Linked DNA regions of Schizosaccharomyces pombe. Changing the gene in region 1 together with any one later gene gives a genetic interaction. Each region holds a gene or a part of one and is shown in the gene's direction. Other genes may lie near its edges.

Evidence for each region. Genes that interact genetically often act in the same process or in processes that back each other up.
Region 2: mutations in pyp1 (region 1) and ptc1 impair growth when combined (synthetic growth defect), as found in Schizosaccharomyces pombe (2 studies listed by BioGRID, with this or other methods).
Region 3: of pyp1 (region 1) and cyr1, extra expression of one rescues a mutant of the other (dosage rescue), as found in Schizosaccharomyces pombe (2 studies listed by BioGRID, with this or other methods).

The regions. Positions count from the first base shown.
Region 1 is NC_003424.3:5,159,474-5,163,873, forward strand, and holds pyp1 (protein tyrosine phosphatase Pyp1), read left to right. Parts: upstream 1-2,038; coding exon 2,039-3,691; 3' UTR 3,692-3,887; downstream 3,888-4,400. Other genes in the region: GTPase-activating protein Gyp51, read right to left, coding at 4,268-4,400. UniProt on the Schizosaccharomyces pombe protein: Plays a role in inhibiting the onset of mitosis. Dephosphorylates sty1/spc1 and wis1/spc2/sty2.
Region 2 is NC_003421.2:2,002,487-2,006,895, forward strand, and holds ptc1 (serine/threonine protein phosphatase PP2C catalytic subunit Ptc1), read left to right. Parts: upstream 1-2,049; 5' UTR 2,050-2,192; coding exon 2,193-3,236; 3' UTR 3,237-3,906; downstream 3,907-4,409. Other genes in the region: GATA-type transcription factor Ams2, read left to right, coding at 1-996; SPOM_SPCC4F11.03C (uncharacterized protein), read right to left, coding at 4,246-4,409. UniProt on the Schizosaccharomyces pombe protein: Serine and threonine phosphatase. Has a specialized role in the heat shock response. May be responsible for the dephosphorylation of hsp90.
Region 3 is NC_003423.3:2,817,940-2,825,723, forward strand, and holds cyr1 (adenylate cyclase), read left to right. Parts: upstream 1-1,862; 5' UTR 1,863-2,068; coding exon 2,069-7,147; 3' UTR 7,148-7,281; downstream 7,282-7,784. Other genes in the region: N-end-recognizing protein, UBR ubiquitin-protein ligase E3 Ubr1, read left to right, coding at 1-1,286; SPOM_SPBC19C7.04C (uncharacterized protein), read right to left, coding at 7,753-7,784. UniProt on the Schizosaccharomyces pombe protein: Acts in glucose-induced cAMP signaling by catalyzing the synthesis of the second messenger, cAMP to activate PKA signaling and repress sexual development and gluconeogenesis.

The DNA.
Region 1 (4,400 bases):
GGTTGGTTAATTTGATAGCCTACTTGTACTCAATTGTTACTTTGTCTGGTTGATCTATTTGATCTGTTACTTGTCGTTGGCTTTTTTTTTTTTCTTTCTTACCCGGGGGACTATTAAGTGATATCATTGTTTGGTGCTCCAAGATATACCTATTTCTACTTCTTCTTCTCTTTCTACATATCGCTCGCTCGTCCTCTCCCTTCCTCCTCTTAACCCTTTACTTGCTCCCAATCCTTTTTATCTTTTGGGTTTCCTGTTTAAACGTTGGGTAAAGTATAAGATTGGATCTTATTTTCATCGTCGTTTTGTTGGATCGTATGAAAAATTTTACCTTGGTTCGTCGCTCAGTCCTTGCTCTGATCGTTTGGTAAAAATCAAAAATCGTTAGACTTGATTTCGTTGACGTTTAGTGCGTTTAATTCTCTTTCTTAGATTTTTTCCTCCATCCTTCATCTCGTCAACAGTTCTCTCTGTTGTCTCTCCACCGCTATACGTAGCTTTTAAAAGTCGTTTGTTTCATTACCTGCGCCCATCTTTTCTTTTCTAAACTTTAACTCAAAGTGAATAAATAGGAAGAACTAGTCTTTTTTCCTTCCATAAAAGAGCACCAGATATATCGTTGAATCGCCGTGCTTTTTCTATTTGCTTCATTTTTTTATCCCGTACGATGCAAAATAGTTAATTTCTTCAACTTTTCTCAACTTTTGTTTCACCACTTCTTTCTCTCAATTGGGTTAGATTTTTCTCCTTTTACATTTTTTTTATACCTCCCTCTTTTTTTTTCTTGTTTCCTTTTCGTTGATATTTTCATATTTTCGGAATTCTCCTTTTCTAGTTATCCTATTTCTCGTTTCATCATTTTCTTTGTCTTTTCTCAAAAAGGTGTACTCTTGGGTTTCTTTCCACAGTGTAGTATCGCTTTTTTTGAACCTTTGAAGAGCTCATATATTCCTTTCCCTTGAGTTTTTCGGATTAAGTTTTGAATTTTTTTCCCATTTTCTTCATTGCTTTACCGTTTGTTTTCACTTCACTTTGGGGTCTTGGTGGTTACTTGTCTATTGTTTTTTTTGTGGGGTTCTGCATTCTGAATAGTTCTGTTTCTTTTTTTCTGAACTCATCTGTCTAAGTATTCACCATTCATTTGGTTTATTTACAGACGTGTGCTCTGTAATTTTCATCCTTAGTTGACCTTACGTTTTTGCTAGTTTGTTGCATCAACGTGCTTTTGGTTCCCCCCTTTAGCTTTGAATACGCTTCTGACTTTTAAATTGGGTTTTCTGTTTTGTAGGAAAATTATTCCATTGTCATTACATTTCAATTAGCCTCTACCTCTTTTCGTTCCTCGATCTCCTACTTGTATACTTTTCTGCACTTTGACAAACTGCAACTTATAATATTTCTTATACCCTCTATCTTATATTTTTGTTCAGTCTGGTTACTGTTTTCGTGCGTGTGCCCTACCTTTTTGCATTTTCTACTAAATACGAAATAATTTCTTAAATAGTGTTGCTTTTTGCAATCTTGCACTGTGCACTCACAAGCAGTATTTTTATTTTCCTCTTAAAATCGCTTGACCTTTGAAGTGACGATTCATTAATCCGTTAATTTTTAAGGATTCCCCCTTTTTATTCTCATATTTGCATAGTACTGATTCAAACCCATTCTTTGAATTGGATACTCCTCATCCCCTCTAAAACTCTTCCATCTTTATTTTCTGCAGAAAGTTTGAATTGAAAAACTTTTTTCATCTCAGACTTGATTTGAATCTTCTCTTGTTTCCTTCTATATTTTACTAATTTTATTGCCAAATTTTGCGTTAATTCTTTCCTTTTTAGAACCCTGGATTTTCCGTAATTTTGATATTTCCTATCCATTCATTATTTTGCTTTCGGCCTTCAAAACTTGTGCTATCCAATATTTGTATTTTATTTAAGAAGTCTGAATTTTTTTTTACTTTTTTACTTTTTTTTTTAATCATCTCTGCTTCTTTTTTAAGGCCAAATATTCTTAATACAAAACATTCATCTAAAAAACCACGATGAATTTTTCAAACGGTTCAAAATCGTCTACTTTTACAATTGCTCCTTCGGGTTCATGTATTGCTTTACCTCCTCAGCGGGGTGTAGCAACGAGTAAGTATGCTGTTCATGCTTCTTGCCTCCAAGAATATCTCGACAAGGAAGCTTGGAAGGATGACACATTGATCATCGACCTTCGTCCCGTATCCGAGTTTTCCAAATCTAGAATTAAGGGCTCCGTCAATCTTTCTTTACCTGCAACCTTAATTAAGCGTCCTGCCTTTTCGGTCGCGCGTATCATCAGCAATCTTCACGACGTCGACGACAAGAGAGATTTTCAAAACTGGCAAGAGTTTTCATCCATTCTTGTTTGTGTTCCTGCTTGGATTGCTAACTACGTAACGAACGCTGAGGTAATTGGTGAAAAATTTAGAAAAGAATCCTATTCTGGTGACTTCGGTATTTTAGATTTAGACTATTCGAAAGTCTCGGGCAAGTATCCATCTGTGATTGACAACTCTCCTGTAAAAAGTAAATTAGGTGCTTTGCCTAGCGCTCGCCCCAGATTGTCTTACTCTGCTGCTCAAACTGCTCCTATCTCTTTGTCCAGCGAAGGCTCCGATTACTTCTCTCGTCCTCCTCCCACTCCTAATGTTGCCGGTTTGTCTTTAAATAACTTTTTCTGTCCTCTACCTGAGAACAAGGACAACAAATCTTCTCCATTTGGCAGTGCTACAGTCCAGACACCCTGCTTACACAGTGTGCCCGATGCTTTTACCAATCCAGATGTTGCGACCCTCTACCAGAAGTTCTTGCGCCTGCAATCATTGGAGCATCAACGTCTAGTTTCTTGTTCGGATCGTAATTCTCAGTGGAGTACCGTTGATTCATTGAGTAATACATCGTATAAGAAAAACAGATATACCGACATTGTTCCTTACAATTGTACTCGTGTGCATTTGAAAAGAACTAGCCCTTCAGAGCTCGATTATATCAATGCTTCCTTTATCAAAACTGAAACTTCAAATTACATCGCTTGCCAAGGTTCTATTTCTCGTTCTATTAGCGATTTCTGGCACATGGTATGGGACAATGTGGAGAATATAGGCACTATTGTTATGCTTGGTTCATTGTTCGAGGCTGGCCGCGAAATGTGTACTGCATATTGGCCAAGTAATGGTATTGGAGATAAACAAGTGTATGGAGATTACTGTGTCAAACAAATTTCGGAGGAAAATGTCGATAATTCTCGATTCATTTTGCGAAAGTTTGAAATTCAGAATGCCAATTTTCCTTCAGTTAAAAAAGTACATCACTATCAATATCCTAATTGGTCTGATTGTAATTCTCCTGAAAACGTGAAATCTATGGTTGAGTTCTTAAAATATGTGAACAACTCTCACGGATCAGGAAATACTATTGTGCACTGCTCTGCCGGTGTTGGTCGGACAGGAACCTTTATTGTACTAGATACGATCCTACGCTTCCCAGAAAGCAAACTTTCTGGTTTCAATCCTTCTGTCGCCGATTCTTCAGACGTCGTTTTCCAGTTGGTTGATCATATCCGAAAGCAGCGGATGAAGATGGTTCAAACCTTCACACAATTTAAATATGTGTATGACTTGATCGATTCTTTGCAAAAATCTCAAGTTCATTTCCCGGTTTTAACATGAAATTTTTGACTGGATTTTTCTTGGCAATATATATTCGTGTTTTAATCGATTCCTTTATTTCTTGTACTTGTAAAGTGTCTTTTTTTTTACATTTGCATTTGAATTTACTGTCAATGTTTGTGAAATTCAGTTGCTTTAATCACGTTGTCTTTTATTTCAAAAAGTATATTTGAGAACTAGGCTTTTTAATGATATCTTTTTTTCTCTTAAATTTTCTTTTTAGAACTTTGTAAACCTATTTTTTGTACAAGATAAAGTCATCAAACTGATAATAACCTTGTATTATTTTCAGATGCTTTTTAAAATTTATTACTCGATTTCTTTAGGCAGAAATATAGAGTTTAAGCGAAGTGGTCGTGATCAAGAGCAATAGAATTCTTTCTTCACTGATTAAAGGTGAGACGATTCATTAAATATACATTCATTTGAACTATCGTTTGTATGTTTTTAAGTAAGACAAACTTGCAGGAACAAAGATTTTTTATAATACACATTAAACGTAACTCAATATAAATAAATTATTATGGCAATCATTAGGATGCAGATATTCCAATAGTACCTAGAATGCTTTTATATTCACTTTGTCTTTATGCGGTTCATAAGCTGACTCCATTTTTGTAAAGCCATCATATGGTCCTCGTCTAAAACGGCCAAGTTAACTTTAGTTTCAGCAAGCTGCTTTTCTTTTCTAAAGATTTCATCTTCGAGA
Region 2 (4,409 bases), on another chromosome or scaffold:
TACATGAACATAACTTTGATGCTTTGTAATGCATGTGGTATATATTGGACGAGTCGGCGCTCGATGCGTCCAAGAAATTTATGGTCTACCTATAAAGCATTTGAAACAGAGAAACCGTTGGAAAATGATGCATTTGCTCAGCTTGAGTTAGCCGTATATAAACTTTCCCAGCAACGAAAACTATCTATATCCATCTTCCGTGAGCTTGAAAATGCAGGACGGCACTCTCCTCTGAATAGACTTACGTCTTTAGACTCAACACACTCTGCACCTGATCCCAATCATATCTCAAAACCCTCTGTTGTTAATCAGCAGAAATCCAGAGGAGGTCCCCGTACTGCTAAGCTGAAAAATGACCTCAGACGCATACAATCATCTCCCATTGTTGCACCTACTCCTGATACATCATTTCGTGAGCCTTTATCCGAAATTGGGTCTAATGATAGTTGGCTGGTATTACCAAATTCACTAAGTGCCAATATACAAAATGATGTTTTAAGAAAAACTGATTTCATGTGTACTGACAAGGAAAACGTCGCTTTTCCTTTGAAAACCACAACAAAGCCTATGCCTAAAGTAAATAAAGAAGAGACAGAGCCAACTCTGCCTGTTTGCGATTCAGAAAAAGAAAATGATGATTTAGAGTGCTATTTCAGAACCCCTCCAAAACCAACTACCTTACAAAAGCAACAACAAAGTCCATCACCCTGGAGGTCAGAGTTATTTTTGTCTGACCCTGACCAAAACGTATTGACACCAAGGCATAAGCCAAAGTTTGATTTATCAAAGGCATTGTCTTCGGTTGCAAAATCCAATAACATTGAGAATTCACCTCAATTACCAGAAAGATATGATTTTTCTTTAGAATTGGGGTTGAATTCTCAACTCGATAATGAAGAAAGACGCGATATTCCTCTGATGACAGATTTGGTGATGCCAAGTAGTCCGCCCATGGTCCCTGCTGACAGGCATTTATCCGTTGAAAACACTTGTTGAAAGAGCGATAAAGGCGTACCTTTGCTTCACACATTACCCTTGTTCTTTAATTTTTTGTTTTATCAAGAAGTCATGTGTGATCAAAATTGACATCTTTCATTATTCGAGTCTTCTTGCTTTTTTATGATTTTTATTTTGATAATGACATCCTTAATTCGTTTTCTTAACCGCAAAAAAATGATTGTTGCTGTTAAAGTCCTTACTGCGTAAGAACTCCCAAGGCATGTCCCCTCAAATCCGTCCTTCGTTCTTTTTATTTCTAAAGCAATTTATTTTATTTTCTTTCATACCATGAGCCGTTATTACCTCCCCCTTGATTATTAAAATATTTCAAGTCGTTGCTTATTGTTGGCGGCATAGCCAAGAGCATGCGACAAGCATTCTATAAATCTTGTCGCAAAATAGAAGTTGGACACTATTTCTTTTAATCTTCTCAAATGTTCTTCGACTTCATCTTTGAGGCTCGGTTTATGGAAATTTTGGATACTTCGTGATAGTTCTGTCTGTTTTGCTTATACAAACAAATTATAATTTCATTAATTGTATTATGAAAGCCGATATGGACAAAGCCACATCCTTATTTTACATACGGAAAAAGTTACTTTTAATTATTTATATGAACACTGTTATTCTTGTTAGCATGTTTATGTTGCGAAACGTTTCTAATTGATTATTATGGGTAGACCGGATAATTGATATTTAGCAAATTCACTAGACGAACACATGACAAATTTTTTTCAGTAATGCGAACCAAAGTCACGCGAAAGCAAGTGTAAAAGTCGAAGGATTTCAATACATGGTTCAATATTTTTGTCTAGAATAAATCAAACGTTTAGTTCATATATTCAAAACAACAGCTTATTGCTGCTTACTATTTCTAATTTTCTAATAGCCTTTTGTTAGCATTTTTGTATTATAATGTAGTTCAATGCAGAGCGGATAACGGTTTAGTGGAAGTTAACCTAGTACGTAAAAATGATTTCCGAAGATCTCGGTATACCACGCGTGACGTAAATGCCCGAGTTTATTAGCACTGACTGACTTAACAAGTTTATACTTACGCAGAAACCCAAGGAAAATCGGTGTTTCTCGTATATACTATACAATCAGCAATTTTATACCTGATATTATAATTGAAGGTATTTAGTTAATTTGAAAAGCAATTTTTTTGTCGGTACTGAAGTGTTTGAACGAATATGAAGGGAAGCCATCCAAATGCAGGTTCCCTGTTGGAACCACTTCACAAGTTGAACCCATTTTCTGAAAATTCTACAAGTGGACATCGAAAAAACGCTAGTGATCATTCGGCGGATGGAGAAACTCGACCGATTGCAATTGAGATGAAGGATAGTAAAGGCAACACAGTCCCAGTTGGTAACTCGCGCCCTAGTAAAGCCTCTAACTGGCTTGCTGGACTGATGGAGGATAAAAACCAAAGATGGCGTAGGTCTATGGAGGATACTCATATTTGCTTGTATGATTTTGGGGGTAATCAGGACGACGGCTTCGTTGCCGTTTATGACGGACATGCTGGCATTCAAGCATCTGACTACTGTCAGAAGAATCTTCACAAGGTACTTTTGGAAAAGGTTAGGAATGAGCCGGACCGGCTGGTCACAGACCTAATGGACGAAACATTTGTCGAGGTCAACAGCAAAATTGCAAAGGCTACTCACAATGACATTTGCGGTTGTACCGCTGCAGTTGCTTTCTTTAGATATGAGAAAAACCGCACCCGCCGTGTTCTCTACACAGCTAATGCAGGTGATGCACGTATCGTATTATGCCGTGATGGTAAGGCTATTCGACTTTCTTACGATCACAAGGGATCCGATGCCAATGAGTCTCGTCGTGTGACCCAGTTGGGTGGTCTCATGGTACAAAACCGAATTAATGGCGTTCTTGCTGTCACAAGGGCCTTAGGTGATACCTATCTTAAGGAATTGGTCAGTGCGCATCCCTTCACCACTGAAACCCGAATCTGGAACGGTCATGATGAGTTCTTCATTATCGCTTGTGATGGCTTGTGGGATGTAGTATCGGATCAGGAAGCTGTCGACTTTGTTCGCAATTTCGTAAGCCCTCGCGAAGCCGCTGTTCGCCTGGTAGAATTTGCATTAAAACGTCTTAGTACAGACAATATCACTTGTATTGTAGTTAACTTGACTCGCAATCCCGGTGATCTCGATGATTCAGGACTTACCGCTGATAATGATTCATACAGTAATGACTATTATTAGGTATTTGATGGATTCAATGATGTGCTTTCTGTTGTTTCGTAACGGTTTTTCGATGTCTTTACCTCATCCACAGTACTTGTTTGGAAGCCGGAATGACTTAATCCTATTTTTTTGTTTACCAAGCACTGTAATTGCATCGATTCTTTTCCTTTATTTATGGACCTTGTATTCTCATTTGGACATGGTTTTCCTTTGGGTCGACTTATTTTTTCTAATTAATTACTCTTCTTTTTATAAACCACTTTGTGCATGTTTCTCTTGTTCTTCTTTTTTGTCTAAAAGTAATGTGTCTAAATATCGATCCTAAATCTGTCCAAATCTAGTTTCTTTTTTCTTTTTTCATGATTTGCTACCTTTTCCTCCAATCTGCGTGCCACTGTTCGAATCAATCGTATATTCATCATTAGCCCTCTTCATACCCATTTAAAGGTACAAACATTTCACTCTTTTTAAGGTTCTTCGTGAGTGTTTTCGGTATTTTTATTTACAATTGCTTCGCAAATATTATGAATGTACTTGCGTGCATGCATTGGTGTTTATAACAAAGGCTATACGTTCACCAAAAAAAATTTATTTTACCCTTTTATCGTCTTTAATTTTCGATTTAAAAGTCGAATTATAATTATTATTCTGAAGTTACGGGTTGTCTTTATTTTGTCCCGTTCCTGCTAAAATACCATTTGCACGTAAAAATATATATACATACACTAATTGTACCAAGTATTCGAGATTTTAGCATTGGCCTAAACATAGGAAAAAGACAACGCTTTTCTACTTACTGTCTCAACTCTAGTTTTCATACATAAAGGTGCAGAGCAATACAATCAAATGATACTCACCGGATAAAGACATGCAATTGTTTTTTATAATTACCGTTTATAGGTTTTTTGTTGAATGATCTGGAAATGAATGACTATAGTAATAGATAATAATACATGAAAAAAACATTGACAAATTGAAACAACCACGTTAAACCGATCATACATAGCTGAACTGAAGTCAACTCAACTCATTTTGTCATGGTGAAGTCAAAGTTCTCACCAAACAAGTCATTTATGCTTTCAGTGGTTGGAATGTCTGTAGGAAGATTTAGAGCGTTGTCAAACGTATTAGTTAAATGCGAAGCAAAGCTGCCATCATTACCGAACGCAGCACTGTAGTTTTCTTGTGCTT
Region 3 (7,784 bases), on another chromosome or scaffold:
ATCTTGGAAAAAATCAGCAAGTTTTTTTAAGGATTTTATCTGAATCTATCAAAACTTATACTTTGTTATGTGCACATGATTCACAGAAGCGTATTGGGGGTTCAATTCAAGAGTTTGAATTTATTAGTTTCTGCCAACAAAAAAGGATATTTGGGCGACTATTGCCCTCTCTAGATTCACCGGTTACCAAATCTATTACTGATGATAGAGTTGAGCCGTTACTTGTGAAGGATACATTTCGAGAATTCGCCGAAGCCAGTGTCTCTGGTTTATTATCATGTGACGAATCGTTTCACTACTTGACGCAATTATACTATACTGCCGATATAGTTCGAAACTTATGGATTCTTTTGTCACAAAGAAACTCTTTACTGAAATGTATGGAATCAGTTGAATTTGAAGCCTTTGACTATGAGCAGCTAAAGGGGTTTGAGCACTTAGTTATCCAAATTTGGAAAAGTCTTCGTGTCGACGGAGCAGGATTAATCAATTTTGATTGTTGTACGGAGGATGATCTAAATAATCCTCATCTTTTGTTTACACTGTATAAACTATTGGAAAGGTTTTCTCTAATCTTCCTTCGAAAATGTGCTTTGCTTTGGTATTGCCGCTATGGAGTTTCATTTGAGACGCAACCGAATTTAAACTTTCAAAATTCAGAATTATCACGTTTACAAACAAAAATGCATATTCCAGGTGTTATTGAATTATCTAATCATCTTTGTCTTACGGCATCTTCCACAGAATGGAGCCTTATAAAGCACTGGTGTAATTTCTTTACAGAGACTGGTCCTCTATGCGATTTTCCTCGCGCTTATTACCCTGGAATTTATGAACTAGTTTCTTTACCGTATGAATTGGATAAAGTCTTTGAGTTACTATTGGCCAGGCGATGCTCGAAATGTTTAACTGAACCTATGGAACCAGCGATATGTTTATTTTGTGGGAAGCTCTTATGCTTCCAAAGTCATTGTTGTTCCTTTAATGGTATTGGAGAATGTAATCTTCATATGCAACAATGCGCTTCTGACATTGGAATTTTTCTTATTGTCAAAAAATGCGCTATTCTCTACCTCAATCCACCTGTAGGAAGCTTCTCTGTAGCTCCATTTTTGGATGCGTATGGAGAGACAGATTTGGGATTGCGTCGTGGCCGCTCTCAATATCTATCACAAAAACGTTATGATGAAACAGTACGAACGATGTGGCTAAACGGATCTATTCCTTCTTATATTGCTCGACAACTGGATGCGAATCCAGACACCGGAGGTTGGGAAACACTTTAGGCTAAACAATGGGAGTTTACGTGATCTAAGCTACTAATTTTTTTAATGCTTCAAACACCTTGATTATTTATTAGGATATATATACCAAAACTTGACATTTTATCATTTAATTCATATTCATTGACCTGTAAATATAGGTTACTTTACAAACATTTCGTCTCATTCAAACAGTCAATCGTATTGCCCTTATATTTAAGGGGCGAGTATCATTTAAGGATAAAATTAGATGAAAGTTTCATGAATACTTTAAAACTCAGTTTGAAACTTTGATAAAAGAAGCTTTTTTAACTCATCAGTCAAATCCAATGTTAATTAATGGAAGGAGTAATGGAAAGCCTTCAAAAAAAAAAATAAAAAAATCATAGTAATTAATTCAAGACCGCCTTCATCTAGTATATTCAGTAGATTTGTTTACAAATCGATGAAATAGTGACGTACGCAGTATTCGAACGCGCCTTACAGTTTCTTCCTCACTAATTCACTGAGAACACATAGTGTTGGAAATTACCACTCTGGAATATAGTTTAGAGTTAGGAAGATACATGAGGTGTTGGAACCCAAACCCTTTCTTGTTCTAAACCTAACAAGTGATATAATCAGACAAAGAAACGCTGGTGTTGGAACTAGGATAATAGAGCAAATACTAGTTCTATAAATTCAATATTCCTTCCTTGGATAGGGATATAACCATTATTGAATTTTCCTTGTCCAAAATTCGCGTATAGTGGTATTTTTGAAACGAAGGTGCTACAGATTCTTAGGAAGGATGCAAATTGCCACTAATGGATCAAAGCAAGCGATTGTTAAAGTCAGCTGTTCCAAACCCGCCTGAACATTTTAAAACAGGTATATCCTGGCTTGATGACCTTGACGAGAAGGACGATGACTCAGCGACGTCTGTGAACTATGATATACCAGAAATAACCGAAGCAAATCTCTGTAATGACTCCCATGAAGCTCTTTCACCTTGCACTCAACCTGTCGGTAATTCTGGACGACCTGTCGAAGCTTTTAAGACCTATCCTAGCACTCCTGCAGTACCTAGCAAAAGCGTGCTTTTCCATTTTTATGAACCGGATGAGAACTTTAGCTTATCTGACACGGGACGTACTAAATCGGATACCGCCTTAGCTGCAAGAGAAAGCTCTGAAAAGTCTGAAGTGCCACGTGATACCCGTAGTGCTGGGATAAAGCCATACAAAGAAAATAACTCGTCTAATTGTGCAATTTCTAAAGAAGCAGGCCTTCGAAGACTTATTGATAAGGACAGAGAATCTTTCGACAAAAACCTGAATCAGTCATTTACCAATCTAACTTTTCCAGAACCGATTTCTGATGACAGTGACAGTGTGGAGTTTCAACGTGATTCTCTTAATAACAATTGGCCAGCTAGTTTGGAAGGTAGCATACACGAATTACCCAGGAATAGTGATGATGATGGAATCCCTGCTTCTGCGGCTCATATCCTGGACCTCGATTATCATAGAGATAGTTATGATAGCCCTTGGAAGAAGTTTTTACCGTACCCTTCCATTTTATCCGATGATTCTTGGAAAGCTCCGGAGAGTTGGGGAACTAGTTTGCCCACTGAGGCTATTCCAAAGCAGGTTTTTACTACTAGATTTTTTGCTCGTCCTTCCCTGGGCAATAGAAAGAAAGAGTTCTTTCTTCGAGTATACCGTGATGATCGAACTTCCGTATCATTCATTTGCCCTATTGGCATACAAACTCATGAAGTGATTAAGCTGTTAGCAAGGTTATTTTTTCTTCCCTCGTCTGCTAATTTTTACCTCTTATTAATCCAATTCAATACAGAACGTATTTTGTTGCCTCATGAACAGCCATGCATTATATTTGAACGATTATTGAGTTTGTTTGGGTGTAAGGTAACTTCCGATGAAGAAATAAATGAAGAAGATAATTATAGTGTTGCTAGATTGGTGTTTACTACGATGGATATTGGAGCGGATGTATTGCGTAAATTCTCTGAAAAAAAAATTACTGCGAACCTTGACATTAGTAGGTCAAACCTGGAGGTTATTCCGGTAAAGATCTATCCCTATGCCCATGAACTTATCTCGTTGAATGTTTCGCACAATTTATCGCTGGACCTGCCTTTAGATTTCATGGAGCGCTGTGTCAAGCTTAAGCGGTTAGACATTTCCAATAATTTAAGGTCTCCAAGAGGAAAACCGATTACTGCTCTTCGCCAATTGGAAGTTTTGAACATGTCTCGTAACGATATATATGAATTGGATCCTCTTATATTCTCTGGGCTTAGTCGAAATTCTCTGAAAGAATTGAATATAGCTAATAATAAGCTGTTCTTCCTTCCCCATTCTACTAGATATTTGGTGAATCTAACCTATCTTGATTTATCCTACAATAATTTTGTGACTTTCCCTTTAATAATTACTGAGTTGTCCCAATTGGAGACTCTTAACTTTTCGCATAATTTATTGTCACAGATATCTAGCAAAATTGGCTCTCTTGTTAAATTGAAGCATCTATATCTACAATTTAATGATTTATCTAATCGGCTTCCACAGGAAATAGGCTTGCTAAAAAATCTGGAAACAATTGACCTTAGTTATAATGCGATTACTAACATCGCCAGTTTATCTGAATGTCCGAAACTAAATAGCATCAATGTAGCTTGCAATTTACTTTCTTTTTACGAATATTCCAATCCGTCAGCTACATTCATCGACTTCTCGTTTTGTCCACTGACTACAATTGATCCGGCATTTAGCTATAGCAATCTCGTCTACTTTGATATCTCACATGCGAAGCTTATTGGGCTCAAGGATTCTGTCATTGAAACTTTAGTAAATGTAGAAACAGTGAAAGTGAATTACAACCACTTTACTAGCATTTCCGATGCAATTTCTGCTATGCAAAATTTGAAATATTTGTCTTGCACGAACTGTGAAATGTCTTATGTTTCACCAAACCTTGGCAAATTAAAGCATTTAGTTCACCTGGATTTACATGCAAATAATATCAAAATATTCCCTGAGGAAGTATGGCAAGTCTCTTCACTAAAAGTTGTTAACCTGTCTTCCAATATCCTGGAGAAAATCAAGTTACCAGTTGCAACGTCAAAAAAATTAACTAGGACAATTAGCCAATTAAAAATCATGCGTACTTTATCAGGAAATCCGGTATCGAGCCTCTCCTCCCAAGAATTTGTTATGCCTACCGTTGAAGAATTATACTTGGTGGACAACAGATTGGGCAATGACTGTTTTACGGCTTTAGAATACTTTAAGTGTTTAAAAGTCTTAAATTTATCTTACAATTATTTAACGGAAATTCCAAGCAAGTTTTTCCAAAATTTTTCTGATCTTAAACACCTTTTTGTGTCAGGAAATGAGCTTGCAAATCTTTCCATTTCCAGTACAGCGCAGGTCCTACTTGAAACTTTGTACGCGAATGGAAATCGTCTTTCCTCTTTTCCTAAAAATGAAGCTTTGTCTAAAAGTTTAAGATTTTTGGACATAAGTACCAATAATCTGCAGAATTTAGCAGTAGAAAAAGCTGAAAAGAAGAGTTTAACTAAACTTCCTCAATTGGAATACCTTAATCTATCTGGTAACACATGGTTTCGATTCTCTGAGCATGAAGATACAAACTTTACAAAATCATATTTGAAGAATTTAAAGTTTTTGAGCATCATGGATTTGAATACAAAATTTTCTAATGCGCCTTCTGATGTTCTAAACCATTTTATTCAACGCAACTCTCCTCAACCTAACATTTTGAGGTATGGAGTATGTGGATACCTTTCTCGTTCTATTCCCGTCATCTCTGCATGTGAATTAGTTGTTAACAACTTTTTGCATCCTCAATCATCTTTATACTGTGTGCTTGACAGTGACATCAGCGCTGGAAAAAACAACCGGGTTTTAAAATTTGTGTACGACAATTTGGCTTCATGCCTAGCGCATGAGATTAATGCAGCAGATTCCTCTTCTGAACAAATTTGTAACGCTTTGAGAAGAGGATTTCTTCGTTTAAACAAAAAATTAGGAAATGTCATTCATTATGACCTTAGGAAGTCTTCAGAAGGAGACGTGGATAGTAATTACGTTACCACTATGAATATTTCAGAAAAGGGTTATTCTATGGACAGTTCTTGCTTGGATATAGGAGTTAGCATTATCTTAGTGTACGTCAGGGATACAAGAGCTTTCGTTGCCAATGTGGGCACATCAATGGCTATAATGTCTACGAGAAATGATTCGGAACCTACAACTTTAAGTGTCATGCATGATGTGTACAATAGGGATGAAATTCGTCGCATAGTTGATTCATGTGGTTTCATATCTGGTGAAATAAAATCGACCACTACACGTGCTATTGGTCGTTTGTCTCAATTTCCTGGCGTCCAAGCAGTTCCCTATGTTAATGTGCAGTACTTATCTGAACTAAACGAATTTATCATTCTAGCAAATCAGGAATTTTGGAGCGTATTATCAAAACGCACAGTAATTGACGTTGTTCGTGCCAACAGACATTCTCCTCTATTAGCCTCTACGAAGCTACGTGACTATGCTATTGCATATGGTGCAGAAAAAAATGTTCTTGTAGTTATCGTCGAATTGAACGGATTGTTTGAAGAGAATTCCCTTAATTTCAACCAACTACGGGGGGATGAAAAAACTTTAGCAATTTCTGAAAAGAACGATAATATGTCATTTGTCCAAGATTTACCCGATGATTCTTCTTTAGCACGAATGAATAGAGAAGTCTCTCCCCCGAAAGGTTGTATTGCCATGGTTTTTACTGATATTAAGAATTCCACATTATTGTGGGAAAGACATCCTATTGCAATGAGATCTGCGATCAAAACTCATAATACTATTATGCGTCGGCAACTCCGTGCAACTGGAGGCTATGAAGTAAAAACCGAAGGAGATGCGTTTATGGTTTGTTTTCAAACAGTTCCTGCTGCATTACTTTGGTGTTTTTCAGTACAATTACAGTTACTTTCGGCAGATTGGCCCAACGAAATAGTTGAGTCAGTGCAAGGACGGTTGGTACTCGGCTCAAAAAATGAGGTGTTATATCGAGGGCTTAGTGTTCGAATTGGTGTCAATTATGGTGTAACCGTGAGTGAACTAGATCCCATCACTAGACGTATGGACTATTACGGGCCTGTAGTAAACAGAACATCTAGGGTTGTATCAGTCGCTGATGGTGGTCAAATTGCTGTTTCTGCTGAGGTGGTATCTGTATTGAATCAGCTTGATTCAGAAACAATGTCATCAGAGAAGACGAATGTCAACGAAATGGAAGTTCGTGCTCTTAAACAAATCGGTTATATTATCCATAACCTTGGAGAATTTAAGTTAAAAGGTTTGGATACTACTGAAATGATTTCATTGGTTTATCCTGTGCAATTGCAAGGAAGACTGGAGAGATTGATAAAGAGCCGAAGTTTGGGAACACCCACAGCCCTCCCGGAAACTCAGACTTATACTCCCGTTCGTAGTAGAAGCAACAGCTTGCGACCCATGTTAGCAAGATTGAGTGATTCAAAATCTGTCCATGGAGAGGAGGGTGGTTCTGGGAAGAGATCGGTTTCATCCTTGCGCAACGTATCACCATCAGAGAGTACTGGTGGATATGAAGGTTGTATTTTTGATGACCAACAGTATCAATTACTTTATGAACTTTGTGAGCGTCTTGAAGACCATGCCGCTATACTGCATGGGTTTCCTGAACCACCGCCTTGCGATACCGGTCTGGCAGCTCCCGTAAACCAGGCCGAGGAGTATTCATTGTTCTACCGTCTGACTTTGCGTATCGAGAATACTATTTATTGTGTCAGTCAAATGCTTGGACACACTGGCTAAATGAATGCATATAATGACTGCTATATTTAAATAATGTTTAACCCCATAAATAGTTTATATATATATATTTATTTTTTGTATATATAATTTGCATATTTTTAATAAAATTTTTTTTTTTTTTGCTATACCCTAAAGTTGGAATTATGGAATACCAAATTAACGTACGTGTTTCGAGGCAAATCAACTTTTATTTACTATTAGTAAACAATAAGAAACTGAACAACGGAACGACAGTAGACTGATACAAAAGTAAAAAAAAAGAAAAATTGTATTAAAGAAATACGAAATAAAATAATTTTCATGCAAAATGGTATAGGAGTAAAAAAACACAATGGGGGAAACTCGGTATAACACTTGATAACAATGTAAACCCCAAATAAAGATAAAAAAAAATGCAAAATAGAAGAAAAATGAAAAAGAAATCGTAAGAGTAAGATCGTAACTAAACTAAAAATACAGCAAAAAAATTTGGAAAGAATGAAGCAATAAAAATACTAAATAAACAAAATTGGAATCAAAACACTTGACAGCCCGGTATAAAAAAACTTGAGAAATGAAAGATAGAAAAAAAATAAGGAAAAAGACGGAGCTTCAACAATAGTAGTCTAAAGCCTAGAATGACGAGAAGATGTCTTGG